Linked DNA regions of Stegostoma tigrinum. Each later gene encodes a partner of the first gene's protein in a complex. Links are inferred from orthologs where the notes say so. Each region holds a gene or a part of one and is shown on either strand. Other genes may lie near its edges. The genes, in order: sf3b1, mybbp1a, sf3b6 and htatsf1.

Region 1 (7,493 bases):
CCCTATCCCAGGACTGGGAGATCCAGGTTCAAATCTCACATACTCCAGAAATGTAAAATAGCAACCCTGAAACAGGTTGACAAAAAAAAAAGCTGGTCACAAACACCAAAAGCACTATACAGCCAATTAAGTACTTTTGAAGTGAATCGCAATTACAAGTTGGAAATGCAACTGCCAATGTACACAATTCCCATAACTACACATGTAAGAATGCAATAACCTGTTAACCTGTTTCTGTGACGTTAATTAACAAATATTGGCCAAGACTAGGGCTAACTCCCCTGTTCTTATTTTGAAATATTCCTATGGGTGCATTTGTGTTGAAAAACCACACAGCCAACATCACGATACTCTCATTATGGTTAGCCTTCACTGTTGTGCTAGACTCCTGGAGTGACACTTGAACTTGCAATTTTCTCATTCAAAAAGGTGAGTTTGCTCGCAGATTAAGTCACGGTTTCACCCAAAAACTAACAAAGTCCAAACAAAATCCTAAACGTAGTCCCCAAAAACACGTACCCCAGTTGAGTTCCTAGCCAGTTGCTGCAGTACAGCTAAAATAGTGCCATTGACCAAACATGGAAAATTGCCTAATATATCCGGTTTATTAAAAGCAGGACATGACAATCTCACGACTACACTTTCAGTAACAGGAGACTGATGAAGGTACCATCAGCAGCTTGTATGATTTGACAGCAATGAGTCCTGTGAAGCACAAGATTCCAGGTTCAAAGTCCACTCCAAGATTTGAGCACAAAAATCATGGCTTGACACTCCAATCCAAGCCTGAAGAAGTCACAGTCAGAGGTGGCATTCTTCAGGTGAGAAATTACACTGTGGCCCCAGTTGTTTAATTGGATGAGTGTTAAAAATCCCACGGTACTATTTTGAAAAGCAGTAAGGAGGCATTCCCAACAATATTTAAGCCTCATTCAACAACACAAATTTCAAAATTATCCACCCACTATTAGTTCTTGCAAATTAATCACAAAAAAAGATAGCATCCAAGTTCAGCAAGTAATAGGGAAGGCAAATTGGAACGTTGGCTTTTATTTCAAAGAGAATGAATAAAAGTAGGGAATTTTTGGCAAAACTATGCAAGGCACTAGTTAAGACCACAACTATGAACAATGAATCAATGCACCTGACTCAGATTTGACCAAAAAAAGGGCCAGAATGGGAAGCATTATTTACAAATTAATAGAGAATGAGAAGAATTGATTACATTTTAATTAAAATTATTTATTTTGGTAAAATATATTTGTGACATTACTGCTTGCTCGTCAAGACTTGCAAACTGAAATGTTTCAGTCATGAATCCACAGAGACTGTCAATGCCCAGTGTCAAGAAAGTAATTCAGTTGTAAAATAAAAGGTTGTATTATGGCATACTTGAAAATAAAACTCCAGAAGTCAGTATGAATTATGCTACAATTAATAGCACAATATTGGTATCTCAACAGATAGGATTTTGATAATGCAGATTTTGAAAGTATTGAGAATTACTGACACCACAGACTATAGGTTTAAATATCATCCAAAGGCAGTTCACAAAATCCAGAAAACTTACGAATTCCAAAGTTTATCTGTGATCATTTAAATGTTTATAATAAACATCAAGATACTGTGACACTTCAAATTAGACTTTGCAAGTAACTAATATGCCTAATGGTTGCATAAAAATAAAAGAAAACCATTTCTGTCTCAATCTTGTACTAAAGCAAACTTTTCTGGATTATGAGAATCAGAAAACTGAACTATCTGGATGATTTTGAGTTGATTAATGAGAGATTTATCACGTGATTTCTTGGAAAAAGTCAAGGAACACCGAGCTTTTCCACGCTTACTGAAAAAGCAAACAAATTTGGAAAACGCAAACTTCATTGAGGAGTTCAAGGTTAGGGGGCAAAAGTTTAGGGTGAAAGGTTGAATGATTTAAAAGGGATCTGAGATGCAACTTTTTCCACAAGAGTGTAGTGCATTTATAGAATGAACTGTCATGGAAAATGGTAATGTAAATACAGTTATAGCAGGCATATGAATAGGTAAGGTTGAGGGTTATGGGCCAAATCCAGACAAGTGGAACTTGTTTGGGAAGCCTGGTCAGCAATTTCCCATACTTAAAAAAGGTCAATGGATCTGAAACGTTAATTCTGATTTCTGTCCACAGATACTGCCAGACGTGTTGAGTTTCTCTGGCAATTTCTGTTTTTGAATAAACTGGAATCTCATTTGCATTTCATGAAGAAAATTCATACTGTACTTGACTTGAAACGTTAATTCAACCTTTCGGCTGGCGAAAGAAACTGTATTCCAAACACATTCTGCTGTTAGATTTAGTATTTTTCCTTCACGGTAAAATAAAGCAACGATGCCCAACACTATTCATAAGTCATGGTGGCTTTACGAAATGTTGATCAAACGGTTATTCGTTTACTTTATAAACATTTTGTTTTAATGTTTGGATGCGTTAGCACCGTCGCTTAAGGTCTAAAAACGTTGGCGATTTGACAAATCGCCACAGAGCTACGGGAACTTGTGTTAAGCATCCTCAATGCAGCAAGAATTAGGATGCATTTTAAAAATCCAGGACACAGCAACCCAGGCATTGTAAACCACGCACGAAACAGAACAGCGATATGAATGCCAAAATAAGTTGGCTAGTTAGGTGCTTAATTCAAAGACATTGACACCATGACTCTTCCTCACTATCGACAATGCCACTCTTCAGACCATCCACTAGGAAAACACGTGAGCACCGCTATCAACACTTCGTTCCCCATGTAGAGAAACAGATTGGGTTGGAACCAGATCTACCTTCTCAGCAAACTCCACATTAAATCCGGCCACTCTGCAATGATGCAGGCAGTCGCTTTCTTTTTCGATGCTGGCGGCGGATCGTCGTTATTGACAAGGCCGCAGGCAGACTGCGTCAATCAGCCTGCCCGACTCCAACCGCCACAAAACTCAAGCCAACGAAAACCCAACTAAGATCGCGCGTCGTGAAGGCACCCGAACTAAGACAGTACCCCCACCGCCGCCCATTTCGAGAACTGGTCGGTGGAACGGGAGTGTCGGGGTCGCTCGGTCGCTTCTGGCGCCTCTTCCCTCGGCCCTCATTTACGCTCTCAGGAGCGACGCCATTTCCTGACCCAGCCAAGCGCTCGTTCATCAGAACTGCAGCCACATTTCCTACAGCTCACAACCGGAGGAACTACGGACACAGCCTACGGAAACATTCTTGTGACCTCCATTCCGCCCATGTTTTAATTTTAGAAAAAAACTGATAAAAACACCGTCCGACATAATCCCCCCTCAATTACCTTCGTGAGTCTTGGCGATCTTCGCCATTTTGTACAACGGTTGCGAGCGGAACCCGCGATGCTGTGGGTGGGCCCGGGATTTGATTGACAGCAGCTCCTCTGCCCCGGTAGCACCAATGCTCAAAAGTCTGAGCTCACTCTAGGCAGCGCTGTTATTCTCCAAGGGATGTCTATGCCACAAATCAAGGGATGACAGACAAATCACTCCTGTTAACAAAATAAATTGCCAATGTCATGTTGAAAATTGTTTTCTTCTCTTTGTGGATGCCTCACTTCAAACTGCTTTGCAATATTCTTTGGTTTGTTTGAGAATTTCATAGGATATAAAGGAGACAGTCAGTTTTTTGCTGTCACATAGGTGGAATTATTTTTCAACTGTGTAGAGCATGGTGTTGAAACCCATTCTACCTGTGACTTCGTAACACAAGTTTGAAGTTTTCTAATGTTTCTGTAATCATAAAGTGGATGAATGGCACATGAAATTTAATGCACACAAATGTAAAGCACAAACCATTAAACAGAAACTCTACACAATATGGTAAACTGGGAGGTGTAACCACAGCTTATGAATATTTTTTAGCAACAAAAGATTCTCCTCCTTTGTGGTTGATAGGGTCCTGAACCATATCTATCCCATTTCTTACACGCTTTCCATTTCAACCAAAACCATAACAGAGTTCCCCTTGTTCTCACTTTTCACTGTGCTGGCCTCCACAATCAACAGATAATGTCTGAAAACTCCACCACAAACACATCTTCCCCTTCTCTTTCAGTATTCTGAAAGGAATTGTTTCCTCTGCAACAATCCCCAGTACCTTCCCATGAGAGCACAGAAGGTGCAACACTTAGGAGGTCATCCTCTCTTGGCCGTGACCCATGATTTCATTTTTGTCAGGTGAAAATTGGAGTTACTTGTACTTTTTTCAACTTGGTATATTGTACTTAGCAGTTGTAATGTAGTGTCCCCTACATCAGGAAGCCTAAGCACAGGTTTAGTGATCATTTTGCTGAAAAGAAGAACGTGTGATTATGTAATGTCTTCCAAAACTGAGCACTTCCCAAGGTACTTTATAATCAATCAACATCCAATCAAATTACTGTGTGACCTTTAGTTTCAGGTCACTTGCTACTTTAATCATCCATCCCTTTCTGACACTGGCCATTTTGTTTAGAGGTCTCTACAAATTTCAATGATGCTCAACACAAACATGAAGAACAACAGCTCATTTTTCAAAAGGTATCTGTTGATCCACATGCAAATCATGGGCTCTGGTGAACAGGAAAGAAATGGAGATAAGGCTACAATTGGATCAACAATGATCTCATTGCATGGTGGAGCAAGTTTGAGGTGTCTAAAAGTCTACTCATGCTGCCACATTCTCTATTATTAAAATCAACATTAATGACTTTGGATTTTAACCATCATCTCAATTTATTTATGGACAGCAGATGCTGGTAATACACAAGAATCACAGGGAGTAAAGGAGGTTGGTGCCTGAGGTAAAAATCTCCTTTACTGGCAGGGTGGTCTGCAACCCTGTTTTCTTCTTCGCATTACTAGACCCAGGAGAACTTTTTTTTGAGATATTTTCCATCCTCCTCTGCCTCTGCTATTCTGTGTAACCATTTATTTCTCTTCTAGATCCATCTTTTGTTATTTGTCCCATTATCTTTGTAATTCAATCACAAATACAAAGAAAAAGTGTGGATGTTGTAAATTTGAAATTAACACAACAAATCCTGGAAATACCCAACATTCTATTTGTGAACAAAGGAACAGGCTTATGTTTTCAGATTGATGATATTTCATTATTGAGGATTAAGTTTCACCAATTTGAACAGTTAGAATATTGATCTAGCCAAAGAAGTTGAATACAAATCAAGGGAAGCCAGGTTTGAACTCTACAGTCCTTGGGTCAGATGACTGTGAAACTACCTTACCCACTAACAACACTTGAGATAATGCAAATACAAACTATGAGGTGGATTCCTGATGTCAAAGTTTAAACAAATGGTTGAATAAAAAGGGAGTGAAAGGAATATTGCAACAGAATGGGTACAAAATCAGGATTAATTTTTGAGCAAGGAAAACCTCAACGCAAACTAGCAGATCAGAATGATTGGTTTCCATGTTGTGTTTGTGATGTCATTCATAAAAAGTATGCAAAAAGGTGAACTAACAGAGATGAATGGAAAAGCAAATAAAATATCAATATAAAATATTGTTTGCAGTTAAATTATAAGGTAAAACAAGGAGACAGGTGAAAGTTACATCAAGTGAATGGTAAATTTAGGACTGATATGAGGAAAGTCTCACACAAGGAATGATCAACATTTGAAATCAGGGGCCAATTAATATTTAGACATATTCATCTCTTTACCAAGAATCACAGCCAAATAAAGAACGCTTTTAATGTTCGCCATTATGCTGAATAACGGCATATAATTAGAACATAAAAAAGTACAGCACAGTACAGGCCCTACAGCCCACCATGTTGTGCCGTGGAATAATCCTAATCCAAAAATAAAATAACCTCACCTACATTCCACTCAATTCACTGCTGTCCATGTGCATGTCCAGCAGTCGCTTAAATGTCACTAATGACTCCGCTTCCACGACTACCACTGGCAAAGTATTCCATGCGCTCACAACTCTCTGGGTGAAGCACCTCCCTCTGACGCCTCCTCTATACCTTCCTCCTAACACCTTAAAACTATGACCCCTCCTGGCATGTAAATCCTGCCCTGGGGAAAAGTCTCTGGCTATCGACTCTATCCATGCCTCTCATTACCTTGTACACCTCGATCAGGTCACCTCTCTTCCTCCTTCTCTCCAGAGAGAAAAGTCCGAGCTCAGTCAACCTCTCCTCGTAAGACAAGCCCTCCAGTCCAGGCAGCATCCTGGTAAACCTCCTTTGCACCCTCTCCAAAGCCTCCAAATCTTTCCTATAATAGGGCAACCAGAACTGGACACAATCTTCCAAGTGTGGTCTCACCAGGCTTTTGTAGAGCTGCAGCATAACCTCGCTGCTCTTAAACTCGATCCCCCTGTTACTGAAAGCCAAAACACCATATGCTTTCATAACAACCTTATCCACCTTGGTTGCAACTTTGAGGGAGCTATGCACTTGAACACCAAGATCCCGCTGTTCCTCCACAGTGCCGAGAATCCTGCCTTTAATCCTATATTCAGCATTTAAGTTCGACCTTCCAAAATGCATCACTTTGCATTTATCCAGGTTGAAATCCATCTGCCATTTCTCAGTCCAGCTCTGCATACTGTCAATGTCTCGTTGAAGCCTGCAATAGCCCTCGATACTATCAACGGCACCTCCAACCTTTGTGTCATCAGCAAACATACTAACCCACCCCTCACCCTCCTCATCCAAGTCATTTATAAAAACTACAAAGAGCAGAGGCCCAAGAACAGAGCCCTGTGGGACACCACTCAGCACTGACATCCAGGCAGAATACTCACCATCTACAACCATTCTCTGCCTCCTGTCAGCCAACCAATTCTGAATCCAGGCAGCCAAATCACCCTGTATCCCATACCTCCTGACTTTATGAATGAGCCTGCTGTGGGGAGCCTTATCAAATGCCTTGCTGAAGTCCATGTACACCACATCCACTGCTCGACCCTCGTCAACCTGTCTCATGACTTCATCAAAGAACTCAATAAGATTTGTGAGGCATGACCTGCCCCTCACAAAGCCATGCTGACTCCCTTTAATCACGCTATGCTTTTCCAAACAGTCATAAATCCTATCCCTCAGAATTCTTTCCAAAACCTTGCTGACCACAGACTTAAGACTGACTAGTCTGTAATTTCCAGGGATTTCCCTATTCCCTCCCTTGAAAAGAGCAACGACATTTGCCTTTCTCGAATCTTCCGGTACGAGTCCCATGGAGAGTGAGGAAGCAAAGATCTTCGCCAGCGGCTTAGCAACCTCCTTTCTCACTTCCTGGAGTAACCTAGGATAAATCTGGTCTGGCCCTGGGGACTTATCAATCTTAATGTTTGCCTAAAATTTCCAGCAGATCAACTTCCTCAATCTCGATCTGTTCAAGCCTGTTTTCCTGCTCCTCAAAGTTCTCATTCACAACAAGGTCCCTTTCCTTAGTGAAAACCGAAACAAAAACTCATTTAGGGCTTCCCCTATCTGCTCA
Region 2 (7,782 bases), on another chromosome or scaffold:
GCGCATTACATGTCTGTTAAACCAAGAGACTGACCTGTGCCAGGGCCAAGCTGAAGCCCGGACGGGCTGCTTCGCGGGTTGCTGCCAGTCCTTCAACCAGACGCTTGATTGCATATTGTAACTCATCATCCTGAAAACAGATAGGGAATAGTTAATAGATATTTGTCCATGAATGTGTCCCTAATGAACTAACCCCAGCTATAACCTCAAGGGGCAAATAGCGAGCTACTTATAGCAACTAAATAAAAGGAACAGCGGAGGGGATAGTGAGGACCATGGACCACCCAGGGAATGACAGGCTTTGAGTTGGGTAGGGTGGCTGAAGGAGAGGGATGGATGGAGATACTTTTGGGGACATGTACTTCAACAGCAACCCCAGGTGGTGTTAGCAGGCCCAGACTCCATGGAGTATCTTCACGCCAGAATATTCATGCCTAGGGTTAGAGATAGAGATACCTACATTCGAACTGGAGCTCCTGGTTCCTCCACCTTTCGTGAATCCCACACCATGGCTTGCTTCACCCTCATTTCTGACACACTCAACTCACCCGGCTATCCCTGATAATCAGTCCTCATCTCACTCAATGATCACCCTGCAGCTTTCAACTGTCTCACACAGCTTTGCCCTAACCTCCTCACTCTGCTCTCAATTTCAGCTTTTCAACTTTGCACAATTCTACACTCTGGCTCCCTGCATCCACCAGTCTTGCACCCTACACACCAGCTTGCTCTTGCTCTCTCTCTCTTTCTCTCTCTACCCCCACCACATCCTCACCTCCATCACATGTAACTCCCAACACTCTCACTCTAGCACCCAGCAGGCTCAGTCTTCTGCTCCCCAGCTCCCACTCTCTCTCCTCTTCACCAATAATCTTGCCATCCCTTCTCCATCTCTCCTGCATCCCTAGCAAACACCAAGCTTTCTCGCTGACTCCCCCAAGTTCTTTGCTTCTTTCTTCCCCCATACTACATTCTCTTCCCTGCCCCCCCTTTCACCCACTTCCCTTCCCCTTCTTCCCAATTCCCCCTCCATCTTTCCCCAATGCCTCCCAAGCCACTCCCTCTTCACCCTGCAACCCCCTCCTCACCCAAACCCCACACCCCCCTCTCCCCACATGCCTCTCACACCATGCTCTGCCCTCATGTCCCCTCCTTCCACCAACCCTGTCACGTTGCTTCCCCCCCACCGATTCCCCTCTTTCCTCCCTCCTTCCCATCCCTCTCACCCCACTCCCCTCATTCTGCTCTCCCCCCATTTCTCTACTCCATTCCCCATCCCTCTCAGTCCGTGCTCCCCTCATTCCGTTCTCCCCCCCACACCCCCATTCTCCCCCAAATCCCTCTCACCCCTTGATCCCCCCATCCCCCTAACTCCGCTCTCCATCCCATTCCCCCGATTGCCCTCTCCTCCCCACATCCCTCAAACCCCATGCTTCTCCCCAGTCCCTTCTCTCCTTCCCATCGCCCTCCCCCCCCCATCCCACTAGCTCTCGGCCCCATCCCTCTTCCCCTCCCCTCCCCAATTCTCCCCCCACAATCTTCCCTCTCCAAATATCCACCTCACCCCGTTCTCCTCCCATAGCCCTCTCAAACCACTCCCCCGCCGCCGCCCTCAAGTCCCTCTCCATGCCCCTTCTCCCTCTCCTCCCAAATTTCATCTCACTCTCTCCCCACTCCTGCGCTATTCCCCCCACCCCACTCTCTCCATGCTAGCCCCTTTCACCTCACACTGCTCTGCACCCCATCCCCCTCTCCTCTGCCCAACTCCCTCAACTCACATTCTCCTCCCCATCTCTCTCAGCCTGCTCTACCCCTCATCCCCTCTCCCTGTTCCCCCGATTCCCCTCTCACCGGCCCCCTTATGTCTCTCTTCCCCCCGATTCCCCTCTCACCGCAACCCCTCCGTCTCTCTTCCCCCCCCGATTCCCCTCTCAACTCACCCCCTCCGTCTCTCTCCCGATTCCCCTCTCACTGCCCCCCTGTCTCTCCCCCCAATTCCCCTCTCACCACCCCCCCTCCGTCTCTCTCTCTCCCCCCCCCCGATTCCCCTCTCACCGCCCCCCTGTCTCTCCCCCCAATTCCCCTCTCACCGCCCCCCTGTCTCTCCCCCCAATTCCCCTCTCACCGCCCCCCTGTCTCTCCCCCCAATTCCCCTCTCACCGCCCCCCTCCATCTCTCGGCCCAATTCCCCTCTCACCGCACCCACTCCGTCTCTCTCCCCCCCGATTCCCCTCTCACCGCACCCACTCCGTCTCTCTCCCCCCCCCGATTCCCCTCTCACCGCACCCCCTCTGTCTCTCTCCCCCCCGATTCCCCTCTCACCGCACCCCCTCTGTCTCTCTCCCGATTCCCCACTCACCGCCCCCCCTCCGTCTCTCTCTCTCTCCCCAATTCCCCACTCGCCGCCCCCCCGTCTCTCTCCCCCCGATTCCCCTCTCACCGCCCCCTGTCTCGCTCCCCCCAATTCCCCACTCGCCGCCCCCCCGTCTCGCTCCCCCCAATTCCCCACTCGCCGCCCCCCCGTCTCTCTCCCCCCAATTCCCCTCTCACTGCCCCCCCTCCATCTCTCCCCCCATTCCCCTCTCACTGCCCCCCCTCCATCTCTCCCCCCATTCCCCTCTCACTGCCCCCCCTCCATCTCTCCCCCCATTCCCCTCTCGCTGCCCCCCCTCCATCTCTCCCCCCATTCCCCTCTCGCTGCCCCCCCTCCATCTCTCCCCCCATTCCCCTCTCGCTGCCCCCCCTCCATCTCTCCCCCCATTCCCCTCTCGCTGCCCCCCCTCCATCTCTCCCCCCATTCCCCTCTCGCTGCCCCCCTCCATCTCTCCCCCCATTCCCCTCTCGCTGCCCCCCTCCATCTCTCCCCCCAATTCCCCTCTCACTGTCCTCTCTATTCCCCCATCCCCTCACCATCTCATTCCCTGCTCACCCCCCCCCATCACCCTCTCCACCCCATCTCACGCTCTCCCCTCATCCTCCTCCTCTCCGTCCCCCCCCCAAATCCCTCCCACCCGTTCTTCTACCTCTATCCCTCTTCCATCTCTCCCCCCAACCCGCAGTTTCCTCCCGCCTCCCTCACCCCGCGCTCTGCCCCAACCTCGTGCTCCCCCCATCCCCCTCCGCCTCACCCTGCTCCCTGGATTGCTGAGATAGTCTGATAGACCCTGGATCCCTCGCAGCCGCAAATTCTGATCGGCTTTGCCGATGTCCCAGAAGAAGTCGAGGAAACGGCGGTTTTGCTGCAGGATGACGGATTTCTGCAGCGCGGCCTCTCTGCCCATCTCACTCTCGGCTGCCATGCCGCCTCGGGGTCCTCACACAGACAAGGTCATGACCCTTGCTGGCTGCCTCTTTCCCCTCTGCCGTCTGCCCAGATGTGAGATCAGACAAGCTATCGATCAACAGTAATTTATCACAATTGATTCAGTTGGGTCTGGAAGCCAAAGAATGAGATTTAGGGAGCCGGGTGTTTGGAATCGTCTTCCGAGGGAGACTTCTTGCTGGCACAGCGTGAGGCAGCCGCGGTTGTCTTGGTACCGGGGTCCTGGCGGCCTCAGCCTGTCTCGAGCGGGGACATGGCGGATTTCGACAGCTACGATGAGCGGCAGCAGCAGTACAGCAGCTTCGGGGGAGGCCGGGGGTAGGTAACGGGGCCTGTGCATTACCGGGCCGGGGACAGGAAGAGGGGGAGCACTGCACTGAGACCACTCTCGGCTTTTACCCACTCAACACTCCTTAATCCCCTTCTATCCGCCAACCCCACCCCCACCCAAACACTCTACCCTACAAAACCCGGACACCCAAACCCTCAACACGCTAAAAATTCAGCTCCCCCCAAATCCTCTACCCCCGAAAAATTCAACTCCCCCCAAACCCTTTACCTCCTAAAAATTCAACTCCCCCCAAATCCTCTACCCCCTAAAAATTCAACTCCCCCCAAATCCTCTACCCCCTAAAAATTCAACCCCCAAATCCTCTACCCCCGAAAAATTCAACTCCCCCCAAATCCTCTACCCCCTAAAAATTCAACTCCCCCAAACCCTTTACCTCCTAAAAATTCAAACTCTCTACCCCCTAAAAATTCAACCCCCCAAATCCTCTACCCCCCAAAAATTCAACTCCCCCCAAATCCTCTACCCCCTAAAAATTCAACCCCCAAATCCTCTACCCCCTAAAAATTAACCCCCCAAATCCTCTACTCCCCCAAAAATTCAACTCCCCCCAAATCCTCTACCCCCTAAAAATTCAACTCCCCCCAAACCCTTTACCTCCTAAAAATTCAAACCCTCTACCCCCTAAAAATTCAACCCCCCAAATCCTCTAACCCCCAAAAATTCAACTCCCCCCAAATCCTCTACCCCCCAAAAATTCAACCCCCAAATCCTCTACCCCCTAAAAATTAACCCCCCAAATCCTATACCCCCCTAAAAATTCAACTCCCCCCAAATCCTCTACCCCCCCAAAAATTCAACTCCCCCCAAATCCTCTACCCCCCAAAAATTCAACTCCCCCCAAATCCTCTACCCCCTAAGAATTCAACCCCCCCAAATCCTCTACCCCCTAAAAATTCAACCTGCCAAATCCTCTACCCCCTAAAAATTCAACCCCCAAATCCTCTACCCCCGAAAAATTCAACTCCCCCCAAATCCTCTACCCCCTAAAAATTCAACTCCCCCAAACCCTTTACCTCCTAAAAATTCAAACTCTCTACCCCCTAAAAATTCAACCCCCCAAATCCTCTACCCCCCAAAAATTCAACCCCCAAATCCTCTACCCCCTAAAAATTAACCCCCCAAATCCTCTACTCCCCCAAAAATTCAACTCCCCCCAAATCCTCTACCCCCTAAAAATTCAACTCCCCCCAAATCCTCTACCCCCTAAAAATTCAACTCCCCCCAAACCCTTTACCTCCTAAAAATTCAAACCCTCTACCCCCTAAAAATTCAACCCCCCAAATCCTCTAACCCCCAAAAATTCAACTCCCCCCAAATCCTCTACCCCCCAAAAATTCAACCCCCAAATCCTCTACCCCCTAAAAATTAACCCCCCAAATCCTATACCCCCCTAAAAATTCAACTCCCCCCAAATCCTCTACCCCCCCAAAAATTCAACTCCCCCCAAATCCTCTACCCCCCAAAAATTCAACTCCCCCCAAATCCTCTACCCCCTAAGAATTCAACCCCCCCAAATCCTCTACCCCCTAAAAATTCAACCTGCCAAATCCTCTACCCCCTAAAAATTCAACCCCTCAAATCCTCTACCCCTCAAAAATTCAACTCCCCCCAAATCCTCTACCCCCTAAAAATTCAATGCCCCAAATCCTCTACCCCCTAAAAATTAACCCCCCAAATCCTCTACCCCCCTAAAAATTCAACCCCCCCAAATCCTCTGCCCCCCAAATCCTCTACCCCCTAAAAATTCAACCTCCCAAATCCTCTACCCCCTAAAAATTCAACTCCCCCAAACCCTTTACCTCCTAAAAATTCTAACCCTCTACCCCCTAAAAATTCAACTCCCCCAAAGCCCTCTACCCCCTAAAAATTCAACCCCCCAAATCCTCAACCCCCTAAAAATTCAACTCCCCCAAATCCTCTACCCCCTTAAAATTCAACCCCTCAAATCCTCTACCTCCTAAAAATTCAACCCCCCCCAAACTCTCCACCTGCTAAAAAATTCAAACCCTCTACCACCTAAAAATTTAACGCCTCCAAACCTTCTACGCCCTAACAATTCCACCCTCTAACTACCCAGAAATACTGACACCCAAATCCCCAACACCTGCACAAAGTTCCCCCACAACCCCCCCAACAAATTCGTAACCCACCCTCAAAATCCCCAACCCCCTCCAAACCCTGCACCACACAAAAACTCTCCACCTGCTCAGCCCCCAGCACACTTAATTCTCAGTCCCCCTGCTGATCCACCCCCACAGGCCTCATTTCCCCCCTCCACTCAATCTTTACCCACACCCTTCAACCGCCAACCACTTGGAGTTAGCAAGAACTGCAGATTGCTGGAGTCAGTGTTGCGTTGGAGGAACACAGTAATTCAGGCAGCATCAGAGGAGCAGGAAAGTTGATGTTTTAGGTTTATGCCCTTCATCATCACCCCCAACCCCTGCACTCTCTCTCCTCCCCACTGCTCTCAGCCCTCCCTCCCCACTCCCCCCACCGCTCTCAGCCCTCCCTCCCCGCTGTCAGCGCCCCCCCCCCCCCCCCGCTGTCAGCGCGCCCCCCCCCCCCCCCCCCATTGCTTGGCCATTGCTGACACACACTACTCTCCCCCCACCCCCCACCCGCCAAGTGCGTTCACGCTCAGCACCCACTTCAGCCCCTCCTCCTCCTTCCTCTCTGCTCCCCTTGCTCCATTCACCCCATATCCCATGCCATCAGTCAGCTCACTGGCTCATCACTACTCCTCTTCCATCTCTACCTCCTTTGATGGCACTTATCATCTTGTCACTACTTTAACCCACTCCTCACCCTTACCCAGAACTGAGAATAATGTTCTCCCCAAAATATGAATTGCAGTTAATTTGCAACTGTATGGACTCACATTTCATCACCTTGGGTTTTGCTTTTGCGATATAATATTCTCAGTCTCAAAGACTTCAAGAAAACCTAGTTTCATGAATGACCAGAATTTGCCTTCTCAAATCTTGCTGAAGTGCAATTTAGTAACTTGTTTTTGACAGCACAGTTGTGAAACTGAAGCCATCTGGTATCCTTTACTTGTTCAGACAATAACAAACTGTGATCAGTCGATCTCTGTTGCTTTCAACAGGCAAGTATCTGTTTGAAAAGTGGTGTTACCATTCATTCTGAAGTGTGGATTGCTTGGCAAATTTTATTTCTCCCAGAGCAGCAATCAGATTGACCACAAAATATTTTTAAAATTTTGTGGTGTACACTTGACCATTGAATAACACATGCCACATTTCTCACTGGCCCCATTAACCCCGAGAGTCATATAGCTCAGAAACAGACCCTTTGGTCTATCTCAGCTGCGCTCATCAGACATCCTAATCGGACCTAAACCCATTTGCCAGCGTTTGGCTTATATCCCTCTCAACCCTTCCTATTTCTATACCCATCCAGATGTCTTTTAAGTAATGTAATTTTACCTGCCTCCACCACCAGCTCGTTCCATATATCCATCATTCTCTGTGTGACAAAGTTACCCCTCTGGTCCTTGTTAAATGTTTCTCCTCTCACCTTAAACCTGTGTCTTCTAGCCTTGGACTCCCCACTCTAGGAAAAAGATCTTGGATATTCATCCTATCCAAGCTACTCATGATTTTGTAAACTTCTATTAGGCCAGCCTTCAGCCTCTGACACTCCAGGGAAAAATGCCCCAGCCAATTAACTCTCTCCATATGACCCAAGCCCTCCAGTCCTGGCAACATCCTTGTAAATCTTTTCAGCATCCTCTCAAGTTTAAGAATATCCTTCCATAGAAGGGCGACCAGAATTTTACACTATATTCTCACCAATGTTCTGTACAGCTGCAACATGATGTCCCAACTCCCGTACCAAACTTCTGACTAATGAAAGCAAGCGTGCTAACACCACCTTCACTACGGTGCCTGCATCCCTGGATCTCAATTTGGCAGTGCTCCCCAAGGTCCGACTGTTAACTGTATAAGTCCTGCCCTAGTGTGCCTTATCAAAATACAACATCTTACATTAGTTACTTATCTAGCTAGCCAGTGGTAACATTGCTGCAAAAGGGAACAGGGATCTAAAGAAGTTCAGTGCATGAGAAGTGTGTTCATGGGGCTTA
Region 3 (8,376 bases), on another chromosome or scaffold:
GGGGGGATTCGGGGGAGGGGGAGGGGGGGGGATTCGGGGGAGGGGGGGAGATTCGGGGGAGGGGGAGGGGGAGGGGAGGGGGAGGGGGGGATTCGGGGGAGGGGGAGGGGGGGATTCGGGGGAGGGGGAGGGGGGGATTCGGGGGAGGGGGGATTCGGGGGAGGGGGGGATTCGGGGGAGGGGGGGATTCGGGGGAGGGGGGATTCGGGGGAGGGGGGGATTCGGGGGAGGGGGGGATTCGGGGGAGGGGGGGATTCGGGGGAGGGGGGATTCGGGGGAGGGGGAGGGGGGGATTCGGGGGAGGGGGAGGGGGGATTCGGGGGAGGGGGAGGGGGGATTCGGGGGGATTCGGGGGAGGGGGAGGGGGGATTCGGGGGAGGGGGAGGGGGGATTCGGGGGAGGGGGAGGGGGGATTCGGGGGAGGGGGGATTCGGGGGAGGGGGAGGGGGGGATTCGGGGGAGGGGGGATTCGGGGGGGAGGAGGGGGGATTCGGGGGGGGGAGGGGGGGATTCGGGGGGGGAGGGGGAGATTCGGGGGGGGGGAGATTCGGGGGGGGGGAGATTCGGGGGGGGAGATTCGGGGGGGGGGAGATTCGGGGGGGGGAGATTCGGGGGGGGGGGGATTCGGGGGGGGGAGATTCGGGGGGGGAGATTCGGGGGGGGGAGATTCGGGGGGGGGGAGATTCGGGGGGGGGGAGATTCGGGGGGGGGAGATTCGGGGGGGGGGAGATTCGGGGGGGGGAGATTCGGGGGGGGGAGATTCGGGGGGGGGAGATTCGGGGGGGGGAGATTCGGGGGGGGGAGATTCGGGGGGGGAGGGGGGGATTCAGGGGGGGGAGGGGGGAGGGGAGGATTCGGGGGGGGGGAGGGAGGATTCGGGGGGGGGGGAGGGGGGATTCGGGGGGGGGAGGGGGATTCGGGGGGGGGAGGGGGGATGGGAGGATTCGGGGGGGGGAGGGAGGATTTGGGGGGGAGGGAGGATTCGGGGGGGGGGGATTCGGGGGGGAGGGGGGATTCGGGGGGGAGGGGGGATGGGAGGATTCGGGGGGGAGGGGGGGGAGGATTCGGGGGGGAGGGGGGGGAGGATTCAGGGGGGGAGGGGAAGATTCGGGGGGGAGGGGACGATTCGGGGGGGGGAGGGGACGATTCGGGGGGGGGAGGGGACGATTCGGGGGGGGAGGGGGGATTCGGGGGGGGAGGGGGGATTCGGGGGGGGGAGGGGAGGATTCGGGGGGAGGAGGATTCGGGGGGGGAGGGAGGATTCGGGGGGGGGAGGGGGGGGGAGAAAGAGGATTCGGGGGGGGAGAGAGGATTCGGGGGGGGAGAGGATTCGGGGGGGGAGGATTCGGGGGGGGGAGGATTCGGGGGGGGGAGGATTCGGGGGGGGAGGATTCGGGGGGGGAGGATTCGGGGGGGGCAGGATTCGGGGGGGGCAGGATTCGGGGGGGGCAGGATTCGGGGGGGGCAGGATTCGGGGGGGGGAGGATTCGGGGGGGGGAGGATTCGGGGGGGGGAGGATTCGGGGGGGGGAGGATTCGGGGGGGGGAGGATTCGGGGGGGGGAGGATTCGGGGGGGGGAGGATTCGGGGGGGGGAGGATTCGGGGGGGGGAGGATTCGGGGGGGGGAGGATTCGGGGGGGGAGGATTCGGGGGGGGGAGGATTCGGGGGGGGAGGAGGGGAGCGGAGGATTCGGGGGGGGAGCGGAGTGTGGGGGAGCGGAGTGTGGGGGTGGGGAGTGTGGGGGTGGGGAGTGTGGGGGTGGGGAGTGTGGGGGTGGGGAGTGTGGGGGTGGGGAGTGTGGGGGTGGGGAGTGTGGGGGTGGGGAGTGTGGGGGTGGGGAGTGTGGGGGTGGGGAGTGTGGGGGTGGGGCGTGCGGCTCGTGAGGGACAATCCTATTCTGCCAAGGGGACGCCCTTGGGGGGGGGATATTCGGGGGGGGGGAGCAGATTCGGGGGGGGGGGAGATTCGGGGGGGGGGAGATTCGGGGGGGGGAGATTCGGGGGGGGGAAGATTCGGGGGGGGGAAGATTCGGGGGGGGGGAGATTCGGGGGGGGGGAGATTCGGGGGGGGGGAGATTCGGGGGGGGGGGAGATTCGGGGGGGGGGGAGATTCGGGGGGGGGGAGATTCGGGGGGGGGAGATTCGGGGGGGGGAGATTCGGGGGGGGGGGGAGATTCGGGGGGGGGGAGATTCGGGGGGGGGAGATTCGGGGGGGGAGATTCGGGGGGGGGAGATTCGGGGGGGGGAGGGGGGGATTCAGGGGGGGGGGAGGGGGGATGGGAGGATTCGGGGGGGGAGGGGGGATTCGGGGGGGGAGGGGGGATTCGGGGGGGGAGGGGGGATTCGGGGGGGGAGGGGGGATTCGGGGGGGGAGGGGGGATTCGGGGGGGGGAGGGGGGATGGGAGGATTCGGGGGGGGAGGGAGGATTCGGGGGGGGGGAGGGAGGATTCGGGGGGGGGGAGGGAGGATTCGGGGGGGGGGAGGGAGGATTCGGGGGGGGGGAGGGAGGATTCGGGGGGGGGGAAGGGAGGATTCGGGGGGGGGGAGGGAGGATTCGGGGGGGGGAGGGAGGATTCGGGGGGGGGGAGGGAGGATTCGGGGGGGGGGAGGGGGGATTCGGGGGGGGGAGGGGACGATTCGGGGGGGGGGAGGGAGGATTCGGGGGGGGAGGGAGGATTCGGGGGGGGAGGGAGGATTCGGGGGGGGAAGGATTCGGCGGGGGGGGGGAGGATTCGGGGGGGGGGAGAGGATTCGGGGGGGGAGAGGATTCGGGGGGGGGAGAGGATTCGGGGGGGGGGAGGATTGGGGGGGGGGAAAGGATTCGGGGGGGGAGAGGATTCGGGGGGGGGGAGGATTCGGGGGGGGGAGGATTCGGGGGGGGGAGGAGGGGAGCGGAGGATTCGGGGGGGAGCGGAGGATTCGTGTGGGGGTGGGGAGTGTGGGGGTGGGGAGTGTGGGGGTGGGGAGTGTGGGGGTGGGGAGTGTGGGGGTGGGGCGTGCGGCTCGTGAGGGACAATCCTATTCTGCCAAGGGGACGCCTCACTGGAGGTGAGCGTGTAGCCCGGCTTCGGGGCTGAACGTACGACGGACGGAAGATCGAATGGAGCCGGCAGTCGGTTGGGGGAAAGGCCGGGGGCGTGGCGCGGTCAACGACTAAAGAGAAGCGGACTCACGTTCGCCCTTTTCGCCGCTTGCATCGCCATCGCGACCGGTCTGTAGGAACAAGAGGCCGAGCACACAGGGCCGATCAGAGCGCGCAGGAAACCTCACCGCGGCGACGCAACAGCGTACTGGCGTCACAGACCCCTTGCGCCCTGGCGTCATACGCACCCGTCTGCCACGTGCTCCGGGGAGTTGCCCAGTTCCAAGGGGTCACCAGGAGGTCACAGAGGTTCAGGTTTCCAGGTCAATGTAGCTGCAGGGAGTCCCAGGAGTGCCCTTTCCCAGTGGGATTACCCGCGGTGCAGCATGTCCCTGCAACACTCCCTTTGGCAATGAGTGTTCCGAGGCACTGTTTGCTCCTGGGGTATTAGCCATTCCTGCGTGCAGGGTTATCCTGGGCACTGGGGATATTCCTGGGGCAATCGCTGAACACTGACTGTATCAGCCACAGCTGGCATACCTGCAGTTGGGGCCCAAGACCAGGGATCGAAGGCACGCACCAAGTTCAAATTGGTGGCAAGTCTCCACAGCGTGGTGATTTTACAAAGCTTCACAAGGGCTCTTAGCGTCTTTCTCTCAGAAGAGAATCAGTGACAATTCTTTGAATCCGTTCCAATAGCTGAAGTTCCCGATTCCTGGAACCACTCATAATATTGCTTCTGCATTCTTTTCCAGACAGGCACGTTCTTCCTATGGTGGGGTATCCACGTCAATATGCAATGCTTCCTGCTCACTCTACTGAATTCGCTGCCATTTTCAAGTTCTACACCGACCTCCTCAGAGTACAACTCTTTCAAGTTTTGTGTTATTTGCAAACTTTAAAATTGTTCACTTAACACCAAGATTTACATCACTAATATTTGTTTTTAAAAAAAAGCCAGGGACACAATATTGACTACAGGGAATTCCACTGCAGACCTTCTGCCAGTTTGAAAATTAGCCATTGACTATTACTTTTTGTTTCCTACCACTTGGCTGATTTTATATCCATATTGCAACTGACCTTTTTATTCCTATGACCTATATTTTCCTCAAAAGTCTGTTGTCTGGCACGGTATGATATGCCTTCTGAAAGTCCAATACACCACAATGACAGTATTGCCCTCATTGAGCTTTTCTGTTACCTTTTCAAAAATCACCAATGTTAGTCAACCATGTTTTCCCTTCAGAAATCTATACTTACTTTACCTAATCAAACCATCTTTTTTCCATGTGACCACTAATTCTATCGAAAATAATAGTTTTGGAAGCTTCTCAACTCCTAAGTCATGGATAAACTGACTGGTCTGTAATGCTGGGCTTATCCTTACAACCATTCTTGAATAAGATCCTAGTGTTTGCAAATCTCTAATTTTCTGTTACCTCTCCCAAATCTAAGGAAGCCTGAAAGATTATACAATTTACACTCTTATATCCTTCAATATCTTTGAATGCATCTCATCTAGTGTTGGTACCTTGTCAACTCCAAGTACCAACCATCTATCCAACACTTCTTCCTTAGCAATATTGAACCCTTTTGGTGATTGATCTTTTTCCTTTTTCACTGGCCTGGGGAGCATCTTCCAGTTTTTCCCGTCAACCACTCGTTCTATTCCAACCTGTCCAGTTCAATTCTTGCCCCACTAAAGTTGGCTCTCTGCCAATTAATTTTTCTTACTCTGGTTGACTAATGGCATTCTTCACAATCATTTATAACCTTGTGATAAAATGATCACGGTCTCCTAGATAAAAACCAAAAGAACTGCGGATACTGTAAATCAGGAACAAAAACAAAGTTGCTGGAAAAGCTCAGCAGGTCTGGCAGCATCTGTGGGGGAGAAAACAGAGTTACATTTCGGGTCCAGTGACCCTTCTTCAGAACTGTCTCCTAGATGTCTGTCACTGACATTGGATCGACTTGGCCCACCCAAGTTTCAAGAACCAGATCCAACATTGCATCATTCCTTGTTGGATTGGACACATTCTGGTGTTGGGAATACTTGCCCTTCCTGCCCCTTAACACGACCAAATCCCGGCCTAAATTTGTACAACTGAAGTCCCTGATCATAACTGCTCTGTAATGTTGGCATCTCTCTACAATTTCCATGCATATTTGTTCTTTCTTTAGTTGGATATAAACTACACTAGCAGTGTATCCTTTTTGTTCGATGTAGTTAAATGGATACTGTCCTTGAACCCATCAAGAGTCCACTTTTTCCAGCACTACAAAGTTTCTTCTTAACCAAATCTGTCTCCCTCCCTTTTCTATGTTTTCCAAACACCCTGTACTCTGGAAGATTTACCAGCGAATCTTGCCCTGCACTTGAGCTAGGTCTCTGTTACAGCCAAGAGAATCAAATTTCCACTTGGAAATCTATGCCAGTAACTGCCCAATTTACGATAATCCTTACATTTACCTCTATGTGCAGTAACTGATTTTGCTGCCAGTGTTACAGACTTTCCTTGATGACCGATAGCATAAGCCACAAACCTGTGTGCTCCCACATGCAGCCCGCAGGGCACCATCCTGCACTATGTGCTACCTCCACTGTTGCACCCCGTACTACTGAATTGGAGTAAGAGATTGGTCAGGGCAGGGATGGTGGGGTCGTGGGGAGGTGGGATGGGAGGAGTAGGAGAAGTCTGAAAGTTAGACTGGAGGTTAGTGTGGAAGTAAGGGGAGAGGAGCGTCAGAGCTGCTGTCTCTGCTGTTTGTAGTGTGCACAAGTAATTAAATGTTTCTGTATTATGTATTCTGAAGAGTTAGCAGAAAAATAATACCAGACTCAATCCGTTAGGAGCACTGTGTCCAGTTCTGGCCACCCTGTCATAGGAAGGATTTATTAAACTGGAGAAGGTTCAGAAATGATTTACCAGGATGTGGCCAGGAATGGAAGGTTAAAGTTATAAGGAGAGGCTGGATAGGCTGAAACTTCTTTCACTGGAGCGTAGGAGGTGGTGGGGTGACCTTATCGAGGTTTATAAGATCGTAAGGAGCATAGATAAGGTGAATGACAAGGGTCTTTTCCCTAGGGTGGGGGAGTTCAAGGCTATGGGGCATATTTTTAAGTGAGAGGGGCAAGATTTAAAAAGGACAAGAGAGGCAATTATTTTACACAGAGAAAGTTTTGTGCGTGGAATGAATTTTGAGAAGAAGTGGTAGTTGTGGGTACAGTTATAATGTTTCAAAGACATTTGGATAAGTACTTGAATAAGAACGGGCTGGAGGGATATGGGCCAATCGCAGGCAAGTGGGACTAGTTTTTTTGGGATTATTGTCAGCATGGACTTGTTGGGTCAAATGGTTTGTTTCCATGCTGTATGACTTTATGACACTCCACAGATGCTGTCAGATCTGCCGAGTCTCTCTAGCACTTTCTGTTTTATCATGGGTTGAGGTACATGTTGAGTTCATATGTAGTGGGGGAACAGTTAATGGCATTCATTCACAATAAGACACAACATAATATTATCCAGAGTTCACACTTGTGTTATTTTCATATTTCCCTTGATTGGTGACTGCACTGTTTTAGGTGCATTCAGGTATACTTACTGCCGTTTATGGACTGCAGCTTACCGATTTTAATGTTCATAAACATGCAATGTGGAGACGTGGGCTATTAAGATTATGGATCACCACTAGATATGTTAAACTTTTAAATACACCATTTTTTGAAGAGTGGTTATAGCTAAAACGACTGAGAATATAACTTCTATGCAATGTAAGGCTGTGATATTTCTGGTAAGCCTGTGTGGGTTATCCTTCGTATTGAAGGAAACCCACAAATGTCACAACTGATGAGTGTCAAGAAAGTTTCAAAGAGAAGGACTTCAAAAGGACAAAAAGGACTACAAATTGAACTATATTCCAGCCTGTAAACATGACAGGAGAGAGCAGTATGGGTGAGAAACATATTTGGATTTTCCTCTTTCATGAATATACAAACAATTAAATACCGATTCCAACACTAGTTTATGTGTTCCAGTGTGTGAAGGTGTGTTCAGTGACGACCACAGCTGTGAAAACCTTGAGTCACCCTTGAATTTAAGGTAAAATGAAAATAAGTCTCCTTTGCTAGAAAATAGAAAGCAGGCAAAGAAATGGAACAGGAAAACGGATGCTGAGCTGCTGAAAAACCAAGTATCTCAAAATCACCAGTTCGTCTACCAATATCAGTGCTTCTTGTATTGCAGAAAATAGGAGCAGGAGTTGGCCATTCAGCCCACTTCTCCATTTTATATGATTATGGCTGATCATCCAACTCAGTACCTTGTTCTCTCCACATACCTTTTCATTCTTTTAGCCCTAACAGTAAGTAGCATAATGGCACAGTAGTTATTACACCTCTTGGTAGGAGGTAGGATTTGAACCTGGGTCACCTAGTCCAGAGGTAGGGACATTAACACTGCACCACAGAAGCTCCTAAGCTATAATGGAAATACTTGATTGGAAGCAGCTCCCCAATGAAGATTCACTAGATTGATCCCTATGGTGAAAGATTTGTCTTATAATGAGAGAGAACTGGCTCAGTGATTAGCACTGCTGCTCACTGTGGCAGGAACCCAGGTTTAATTCCAATCTCAGCTGCCTATGCAGAGTTTGCACATTCTCCCAGTGTCTGCACGGGTTTCCTCCGGGAGCTCCAGTTTCCTCCCACAATCCAAAGATGTGCAGGCTTGGTGGATTGGCCATGCTAAATTGACCCATAGTGTTCAGGGAAGTGTAGATTAGGAGGATGGGTGTGGATAGGATTCTCTGAGGTTTGGTGTAGACTTGTTGGCCTAAAGGGCCTGTTTCCACACTGTAGGGATTCTATAATGATGAATGTTCTCTGTAATTTTTCTTGCCAATGCACAGCCCTCCAAGGCACCGACTTCTGAATTTGGAACTTGAAAATCAGCACACCCTTTGATCTGTGCAGACCTTAAAGAGAACATAGATGAATGGCTGAATAAATTGGGCTTAAACATTGAGAAAACATTTTTGAGAATTGAGTTAGAAATTGTCTTTAACCACCATGTAATAGACAGATGAACATACTTCCTTGCAATAAAAGTAGTTTTATTCACAATGCAGCCAAGATGTACTTTTGGATGATTTGACAGGTTGTGAATTTTCTTATTATAATTTTAAAGATTTACGTGCAAGTTGTATTTACACTGCAGAATTCATCTTGTTTACATTGTCCAGGTAAAAATCTCTGACTTAGGATATTTAGATTTCACCATAGATC
Region 4 (8,209 bases), on another chromosome or scaffold:
ATCTGCAAATCATCAGAATCATAATAGTCATTCTATCATGGCAAAACTGGCCCAATCACACAAAAGTGGTTGGTTTTGGTCAACTGACAAGCAGTGTTCAACTCAGTACTTACCAGACACGTACACATTTGTGTTCCTCTGCTCCTCAACGTCAATCCAGCCTTTAAAAGATATATTTGCATTATTAAATATAAATGAAGCTATACAAAATAGAGGAGATAAACGAATTATAAGGATTCTGGTAAGTACTACCTGCTGCATGAAAACCAGAAAAGCATGAAACTGAACAATGGGGAACACACAGTTCTTCAAGTATTAATTCAGCATCTTTACAAATGTCAGAATCATTTACTTTGGAACTTGGGTGAAATAAATTATTAAAGTTGGTGAGACCAAGATTTGTCATGTTACATGAGTTGCAGCATTAAAACCAAAAATTTTGCCTTTTACTTTTCAAATTATTTATCTGTGAGAAAATTGCATCATTCCATTATCAGAAATATGACATGCGGACAATACTTTCTGATTGTCATTTTTCAGAGGTTGTTCAATTACATTTGTATCCATCTCAAGAGACAAGTTAAAGACAGCAATACAAGATTGACAAGTCAGCCTCAAAAATGATTTAATAAAACTGTTGCCAATGTCAAATCAAATTACAAGGAGATGCTCCAGTAGATTTGTTTGAACTGTTATCACTAATGCCAACATTGTGATTATTGGAATTAAAATTCAATAATCCATCAAGAACAAAGGAAAGACCATGCAGTCAACATAGCAATTTGCACAATTGAATCATTGAGATCTACAGCACAGGGAAGGCATGATCAAAATCAACCACCTACCTATTCTAATAGGCTTATGAAGGGTCTTTATGCCTTGGCACCACAAGTTTACTTTTAAATACTTCTTAGCATGTTACAAGGGGCTCTGCCTCTACCACTCTTAGCAGTGTGTTCCAAGTTCCACAGACTCTTGTTAGGTACATACACGTGTTTGCACATTGGTCAATTTGCAGTTTCTTCATGTACAAAGTACAAGCATTTCACTGTAGTGTCATAAACAATATTTGATATTGCCACATTGACAGGTATTAGGGCAAACGAATTTGAAGGAACATCTTTAAAAAAGGAGAAAACAGAGTCGGACAGGTTTAGGCAAGGAATTCCAAAGCTCTGGGCCTTGTTGGCTGAAGTCACAGGGATGTTCCAAAGGCCAGAATTAAATGACTGCAGATATATCAGAGGGTTGAGAGCTCGAAGTAGATTTAAGACATAGCTGGGGGACACGGCTATGGATGCATATGAAAATGTGCAAGAGATTTCTTAAAAGAAAAATCAAGACAGGGAAGCCATACCAGTCAGTATGTATGCAATCATTTCATTTCGGGGTCAAATTTACAACCAAAGGTGTAAACAGTGTGATTAAGCCTCAAACTGTTGCCAAGGGGAGGGATAATGCTTATGTCTTGAATTACTGTTGGTCATATTGTATACTAAATTATTTTACGAATAATCAACTTTGCATTTTAAATAACATTTTAGACAACTTTGTGTTTTACACAATTAACGCTGCCAGGTTACATTCACTACCGTTCCTGAAGATGAGACTGGCTGAGAATGAAAAAAACACCAGAGAAAATACATGAGTAACAGTAAAATTTGAGTGTGACTTCGGTAAAGTCTCAAAGCAAATCAGCGACAAATGACCAGGGCTCATCAACAAAATCAACGCAATAGTGAACTGATCTATATCCACACAGCACGGACCAGTGATCTACTCATGTGCCTGTCTAGTCCTTTAAATAAATCTAGTTTTCAAATCTGAAATAATATCCAAAAGTGCTAGAATGACAGGAAGAAAAATAGCATCACCGATGTCCACTTTTCTTTTCTCTCCTTTTTGCTTTGTTTCTTTAGGATCCCCTTGAGCTGCATTATCTCCTGAAGACTTTTGCAGAATGGCTGCTGTCTTCTGGGTTTCAGTGGTGGAATTGCCACTGTTCTCAGGGTCCTCTTCAACGTAACCGTAGTTTGCATGATATGTTGCAAGAAAATCTTCAGTGATCTGGAAACAATTGTTACGACAGGATGTGTACGACAAGTAGTTGAAAACTGTCAACGAGTTTAGAGCGGTTCTGGGTGGGTACACAAATAGGAAGGGTTTGGAGGGATATGGGTCGGGATGTGTGTGCGTGGAGATGGTACCAAGAATGTGCGAATAGCAAGGTCACGTAAGCTAGGTGGAAATGGAGGGTGTGGAAATGGAGAGTGTGGGCAGGGAGGGTGGGTGCAGACTTTGGCAGTGAATGACCTGGAAAAAGGTAGTAGGAACTGCAGATGCTGGAGAATCTGAGATAACAAGGTGTAGGAAGACTGATGTTTCGGGTCTAGGCCTGAAACGTCAGCCATCCTGCTCCTCTGATTCTGCTTAGCCTGCTGTGTTGATCCAGCTCCGTACCATGTTATCTCATATTATCAATGACCTGGAAAGGCAGGAATGGGTTCAAAAATCTGAAAGGTTCAGGTTTAGGGTGAAAGACCTGGGGGGGGCGGGGGGGGAAGAGACTGGGGTTGAAAGACCTGGAAAGGGGGGGGGTTGGTGATGGGGGGAGGTGAAACTGGGGTTGAAAGACCTGAAAGGGGGGGGGGGGGCGTGGGGTCTCGGGTTGAAAGACCTCGAACCGGGGGTGGGGGGGGGGGAAGAGAGAGAGAGAAGAACTGTGGTTGAAAAACTTGGAATGGGGGGGGGAACTGGGGTTGAAAGACCTGGAAAGGGGAGGGGGGTGGGATTGGATTAGGGTTGACCAAACTGGAAGGGTGGGGGATTGAAAGACATGGAAAAGGGGGCAAGGGTGGGATGGGGGAAAATTGGGGTTGAAAGGCCTGGGGGGGGGGGGGGGGTCAAGGACCTGGCGAAAATATGGTGGTGGTGGCGGGGGGAGAGAATTGGCTCAGGGCCGGGAGTGCGGCCTGCAGAGGGGTCATGGGGGTGGGCAGTGTTCCGCCCAGTCCCACCCCCGGCCGTACCTTGGGGAACCAGGCTTTCCTCTCCCAGTCCCACTCGAACTCGGTGCCCTCCGCGTCCACGAAAGTGCTCGTGCGGCCCCACGCCTCCTCGGCCTCTCCGCCCTCCAGCAGCCGCTGCAGCCGCAGCTGCTCGTGGAAATCGGCGTTCGCCTCCTCACCGCTCATCCTCCGGGCCCGAAAATTAAACACCAATCGGCCCAAAAATAAACGCGGTCAGCCGCCACTCTCTTAAAGTCGCCTTAAAGCACCTCGATACGCAGACTCGCCGAACTCTGACCTTCAGCTCCCTGTTTGAGATGTCATTTCCGGGAGCTGGCAGGGCCTGTGTCACGTGGTTTTGGTGGAGGAGATGCTGATGGCTCAGGTACAGGTTTATGTATGGTCTACATCAACCTGTTAAGGGATAGAGGCATGGAGCTGTACTGTAAGGAAACAGACCATTCGGCCCAACTTGTCCATGCTAACAAAACATGCTAAATTAGTCTAGTCCTATTTGGCCCATCTCCCTCTAAACTCTTGCTATTCATATACCCATCCTGATGCCTTTTAAATGTTGTAATTGTATCGGCCTCTGCCACTTCTTCTGACAGCTCATTCTATACACACATCACCCCCTGCGTGAAAATGTTGCTCCTTAGGTCCCTTTCATATCTTTCCCTTCTCACCTTAAGCCAATGCTGGCTAGTTTTGGAATCTCCCCACCCCAGGAGAAAAAGCCCTTGCCTATTTATCCTATCCATGCCCCTCATGATTTTATAAACATTGATAAGGTCACTCCTCGGCCACCATGCTCCTGGGAAAATAAGCCCACCCTACTCAACTTCTTCCTAAAGCTCAAACCCTCCAACCCTGGCAACATCCTTGTAAATCATTGCTGAACCCTTTCAAGTTTCACAGCATTCTTCCTATTAGCAGGGAGGCCAGAATTGCATACAGTATTCCAGTAGTGGCCTAGCCAATGTACAGCCGCAACATGACATCCCAACACCTATACTCAATGCATTGACAAATTAAGGCAAGCATACCAAATGCCTTCTTCACTATCCTATTTAGCTGTGCCTCCACATTCAAGGAACTATGAATCTGCCCTCCAAGGTCTCTTTAGCAACACTCCCCAGGACCTTACCATTAAATGTATAATTCCTGCTCTGATTTGCCTTTTGATCATGCAGCACCTCACATTTATCTAAATTACACTCTATTTGCCGATCCTCATCCCATTGACCCATCTGATCAAGATGCAATCGTACTCCGAGGCAACCTTCTTTGGTATTCACAACACCTGCAATTTTAGTACTTTAAACTTTAGCAGATGCAATTACAAATTATGAGGCTATGCTGGCCAAAATGCATTTGGAAGACAGATTAAAAAGGTGATGCAATAGAAGAACAATGACAGACACTTAAGCAAATATAACTTCAATGAAGATAGGATCACTTCTCAATAGAATATATGAGATAGCAAAGGAAGTTAAAGATAGTTATTATATTGAAAGAGGAAAGCGTACAATCCTGTGACGATTAGTTGAGGTAGATCAGAAAATTGGACAGATTTTAGAAAACAGCAAAAAATGATTGAGAAATAAAGAAATTAGAATCTAAATGTAACTAGCTAGGACCTCAATATCTAGAGGGTCCCAGGACTGTGAATATACTGGATCACCACCTGCATGTTACTTCCATGTCACTCACTGTCCAGATTTGGAAATATATGGCTGTTTCTTTTGGGTTGCTAGGTCAAAATCCGAAAACTCCACCCCTAAAAGCATTGTGAGGGTACCTGCAGTAAATAGACTGAAGCAGTTCACAGCATCTTATCAATGGCAACAAAGGGTGGGCAATAAATGGTTAGTGATGATTGCGTAAAATAAGAGGGCATGGAGAAGGGATGAAGATAACAGTTTAGGAGTTTGCTGACAAGAAGTAAACAGGAATAAATAAATAATTTTTGGGTTGGCAAAATGTGAGCAGCAGGATGCCACTGGATTCAGTTCTGAGGCACAACTATTTACAATCCACATCAATATATCAATGATTTAAATGAAAGGACTGAATACGTGATTGTCAAATTTGCCAATAACACAAAGATATACAGAAGAGTAAGTTATCAAGAGGAGATAAGCTGTTGTAATGTCATAAGATGTTGGAGCAGAATTCAGCCATTCGGTCCAACGGGTCTGTTCCACATTCGATCATAACCAATTAGTTTCTCAACCCTCTTCTCCCTTTAACCCTTAATCCCCTTATCAATCAAGAACCTGTCTTAAATGGCCTCAATAACTTGATCTCTGCAGCCATACGCAGCAAGAGTTTAACAGGTTAACCATCCTGTAGCTGAAAAAATCCATCTTTCTTTCAGTTCTAAATGGTCATTCCTTCATTCTGAAGTTCTGTGCTTTCAGGTCTTCGTTTCTCCTACTAGCGGAAACATCTTCTCCATGTCCACTCTATCCAGGACTCTCAGTACTCTGTAAGTTTCAATCAGTTCCTTTGTCCAGCTTGTTAATATATAACATGAATAGTTGTGGTCCCAACACGGACCTCTACAGAACTCCATTTGTCACTGGCTGCCATTCTAAGAAAAAATTCCTTTATCCCTACTCTCTGATATCTACCAGACAGCCAATCTTCTATGCATACCACGACTTTGCTCTTAGCACCGCATACTCTAATTTAGCCATCTGCAAAGGGAATTAGGTTTAATGAGTGGGTAAAAATTTGGCTGATCTCATATAACGTGGGACAATGTAAATTTGTCCACTTTGGCAGGAAGAATAGAAAAGCTGACTATTATTTGAATGGAGAGAGATCCTTCTATGGTGCAGAGGACTCTTAACATCCTGACACATAAAACACAGAAAACTAGTATCTGGGTAGAGCAAGTCATGAAGAAAAAAATGGAATGTTTGCATTTAATGCAAGTACACAGTTAAAGAAATCAAATGGCTTGTGGCACAATAGCAGTGGCCCTACCATTTAACCTGGAGGCTTGGGTTCAACTCCCACCTGCTCCAGATGTGTGTCATAACACATCTGAATAAATTAGTTAAAAATATCTACAATCACATAAGTAGAGATGTGTTACTGCAGTTGTGCTGGGACCACATATGGGGTACTATGTACAGTTTTGATCTCCTTACTCAAGGAAGCATTGTTTTGCATTAGAAGCATCTCTGAAAAGCTTCACTTGACTTATTCCTGTGGTGAAGAGGTTATCTTCTGAGGAAAGATTGAAAAGGTTGGTGCTTTAGGAGAATGAATGGTGATCTTATTGAAATATATATGATCTTGAGAGACTGTATAGAGGGCAGACATTGAGAGCATGTTTCCACTTGTAGGGGAGTGTGGAACTAGGGGAAAGAGTTTAAAAATGAGGTGTCTTCCATTTAAGGCTAAGAGGAGGAGAAACGTTTTCCCTCGAAGGATCACTGGTCTTTGGAATTTTCCTACCCAGGGAATAGTAGAGGCTGAGAAAATTTAAGTTGGATTTAGAGAGTCCACAGTGAGGGAGGATGAACGGGAAAGCAGGGTTAGGGCCACAGTCAGATTAATCATGATCAAATTGCATGGTGGAACAGCCCTGAGCTGCCGTACTGTCTACTGTTGCTTCTAATTCTGGTGTGGAATAGGGACAAGGGCACCGAACACTTGACAGTGCACGTGACACTTCTACCACCCTGCAAAATGGGACCAAGTCTGATGGTGCACAGCAAGGCAGCAGGCAGGGTGTGCAACAAAACAGAAGATGCTGGAAAAGCTCAGCAGGTCTGGCAGCATCTGTGAGTTCACATTTCGGGTCCGGTGATCCTTCCTCGGAACAGGGCAGGCAGTGAACTTCATGTTATAAAGCAGATGTTCACCTGCACATCTGCCAATGTGGTATACTGTATCCATTGTACCCGGTGTGGCTTCCTCTACATTGGGGAAACCAAGCGGAGGCTTGGGGACCGCTTTGCAGAACACCTCCGCTCGATTCGCAATAAACAACTGCACCTCCCTGTCGCGAACCATTTCCACTCCCCCTCCCATTCCCCAGACGACATGTCCATCATGGGCCTCCTGCAGTGCCACAATGATGCCACCCGAAGGTTGTAGGAACAGCAACTCATATTCCGCTTGGGAACCCTGCAGCCCAATGGTATCAATGTGGACTTCACAAGCTTCAAAATCTCCCCTTCCCCCACTGCATCCCAAAACCAGCCCAGCTCGTCCCCTCCCCCACCGCAACCCAAAACCAGCCCAGCCTGTCTCCGCTTCCCTAACCTGTTCTTCCTCTCACCCATCCCTTCCTCCCACCCCAAGCCACGCCTCCATTTCCTACCTACTAACCTCATCCCACCTCCTTGACCTGTCCGTCTTCCCTGAACTGACCTATCCCCTCCCTACCTCCCCACCTATACTCTCCTCTCCACCTATCTTCTTTTCTCTCCGTCTTCGGTCCGCCTCCCCCTCTCTCCCTATTTATTCCAGAACCCTCTCCCCATCCCCCTCTCTGATGAAGGGTGTAGGCCCGAAACGTCAGCTTTTGTGCTCCTGAGATGCTGCTTGGCCTGCTGTGTTTGTCCAGCTTCACACTTTGTTATCTTTCATTTTATAAGTATTCTGTTTCAGTCAAAGGGAAGATGGGGAACAGGGGGTCGGGTTGGCTTTACAATCCATCCTCACGTTGTAGCTGACCTTCACTTGTTAAAAGTGGACTGTCCCTTTTAAAATAGAAGAAATAAGAACTGAAATGACTTTGGAATGCATAAGGTAAAAAGCAAAGATCTGAGTATCTAGAGCAAAGATCTATTATCTGGGTAGAGAAAGTCTTGAGGAAAGAAATGGAATGTTGGCATTTAATGCAAGTACACAATTAAAGAAATTAAATGGCAATCATCGAGATTTAATCCTGAAACATCAACACAGCTAGACATTGTCCAGGGGAGAGGACATGTTTCCACAGACTCCTAAAGGCTTTTGCGCAGAAGCCTCGAAAACAATTTGCAGTACATAGCTAGGGTGGTGAATGCCTGGAGTCTAGACTCAAGGCATGGAACGAAGGCTTCAAAATGTTCAATAACCTGGTCAGAATGACATCTCCTACCCATTGCACCATGAATCATCCAGGAGCATTCATGAACAAACGTGATACCTTCTTAATAGGCAATATCTCCATCTCACCTCAAAAATGCTCCAAT

Evidence for each region.
Region 2: sf3b1 (region 1) and mybbp1a share a complex: the UniProt entries of both Homo sapiens proteins name them as parts of the B-WICH complex. The link is inferred for Stegostoma tigrinum from reciprocal best matches to the Homo sapiens genes SF3B1 and MYBBP1A.
Region 3: the proteins of sf3b1 (region 1) and sf3b6 are in contact, whole or in part, in a crystal structure (PDB 2F9J), measured with the Homo sapiens proteins. The link is inferred for Stegostoma tigrinum from reciprocal best matches to the Homo sapiens genes SF3B1 and SF3B6. Residues at the interface, in NP_036565.2 of Homo sapiens: Trp388, Ile392, Arg395, Asn396, Arg397, Pro398, Leu399, Ser400, Asp401, Glu402, Glu403, Leu404, Asp405, Ala406, Met407, Phe408, Pro409, Glu410, Gly411, Tyr412, Lys413, Val414, Leu415; in NP_057131.1 of Homo sapiens: Arg12, Leu13, Pro14, Pro15, Glu16, Val17, Arg19, Ile20, Ala32, Met35, Tyr36, Arg46, Gln47, Ile48, Arg49, Val50, Gly51, Asn52, Thr53, Thr56, Thr59, Ala60, Tyr61, Val63, Glu65, Asp66, Ile67, Phe68, Tyr92, Ala97.
Region 4: sf3b1 (region 1) and htatsf1 share a complex: the UniProt entries of both Homo sapiens proteins name them as parts of the 17S U2 SnRNP complex. The link is inferred for Stegostoma tigrinum from reciprocal best matches to the Homo sapiens genes SF3B1 and HTATSF1.

Annotation. Positions count from the first base shown.
Region 1 is NC_081360.1:31,792,893-31,800,385, reverse strand, and holds the start of sf3b1 (splicing factor 3B subunit 1), read right to left. Parts: upstream 3,422-7,493; 5' UTR 3,352-3,421; coding exon 3,324-3,351; intron 1-3,323. UniProt on the Homo sapiens protein: Component of the 17S U2 SnRNP complex of the spliceosome, a large ribonucleoprotein complex that removes introns from transcribed pre-mRNAs.
Region 2 is NC_081380.1:5,286,767-5,294,548, forward strand, and holds the start of mybbp1a (myb-binding protein 1A-like protein), read right to left. Parts: upstream 3,322-7,782; 5' UTR 3,300-3,321; coding exon 3,129-3,299; intron 131-3,128; coding exon 35-130; intron 1-34. Other genes in the region: eif4h (eukaryotic translation initiation factor 4H), read left to right, coding at 3,576-3,640. UniProt on the Homo sapiens protein: May activate or repress transcription via interactions with sequence specific DNA-binding proteins. Repression may be mediated at least in part by histone deacetylase activity (HDAC activity).
Region 3 is NC_081357.1:122,344,846-122,353,221, forward strand, and holds the start of sf3b6 (splicing factor 3B subunit 6), read right to left. Parts: upstream 3,312-8,376; 5' UTR 3,205-3,311; coding exon 3,175-3,204; intron 1-3,174.
Region 4 is NC_081371.1:10,944,801-10,953,009, reverse strand, and holds the start of htatsf1 (HIV Tat-specific factor 1), read right to left. Parts: upstream 3,302-8,209; 5' UTR 3,195-3,301; coding exon 3,030-3,194; intron 2,068-3,029; coding exon 1,875-2,067; intron 162-1,874; coding exon 114-161; intron 1-113. UniProt on the Homo sapiens protein: Component of the 17S U2 SnRNP complex of the spliceosome, a large ribonucleoprotein complex that removes introns from transcribed pre-mRNAs.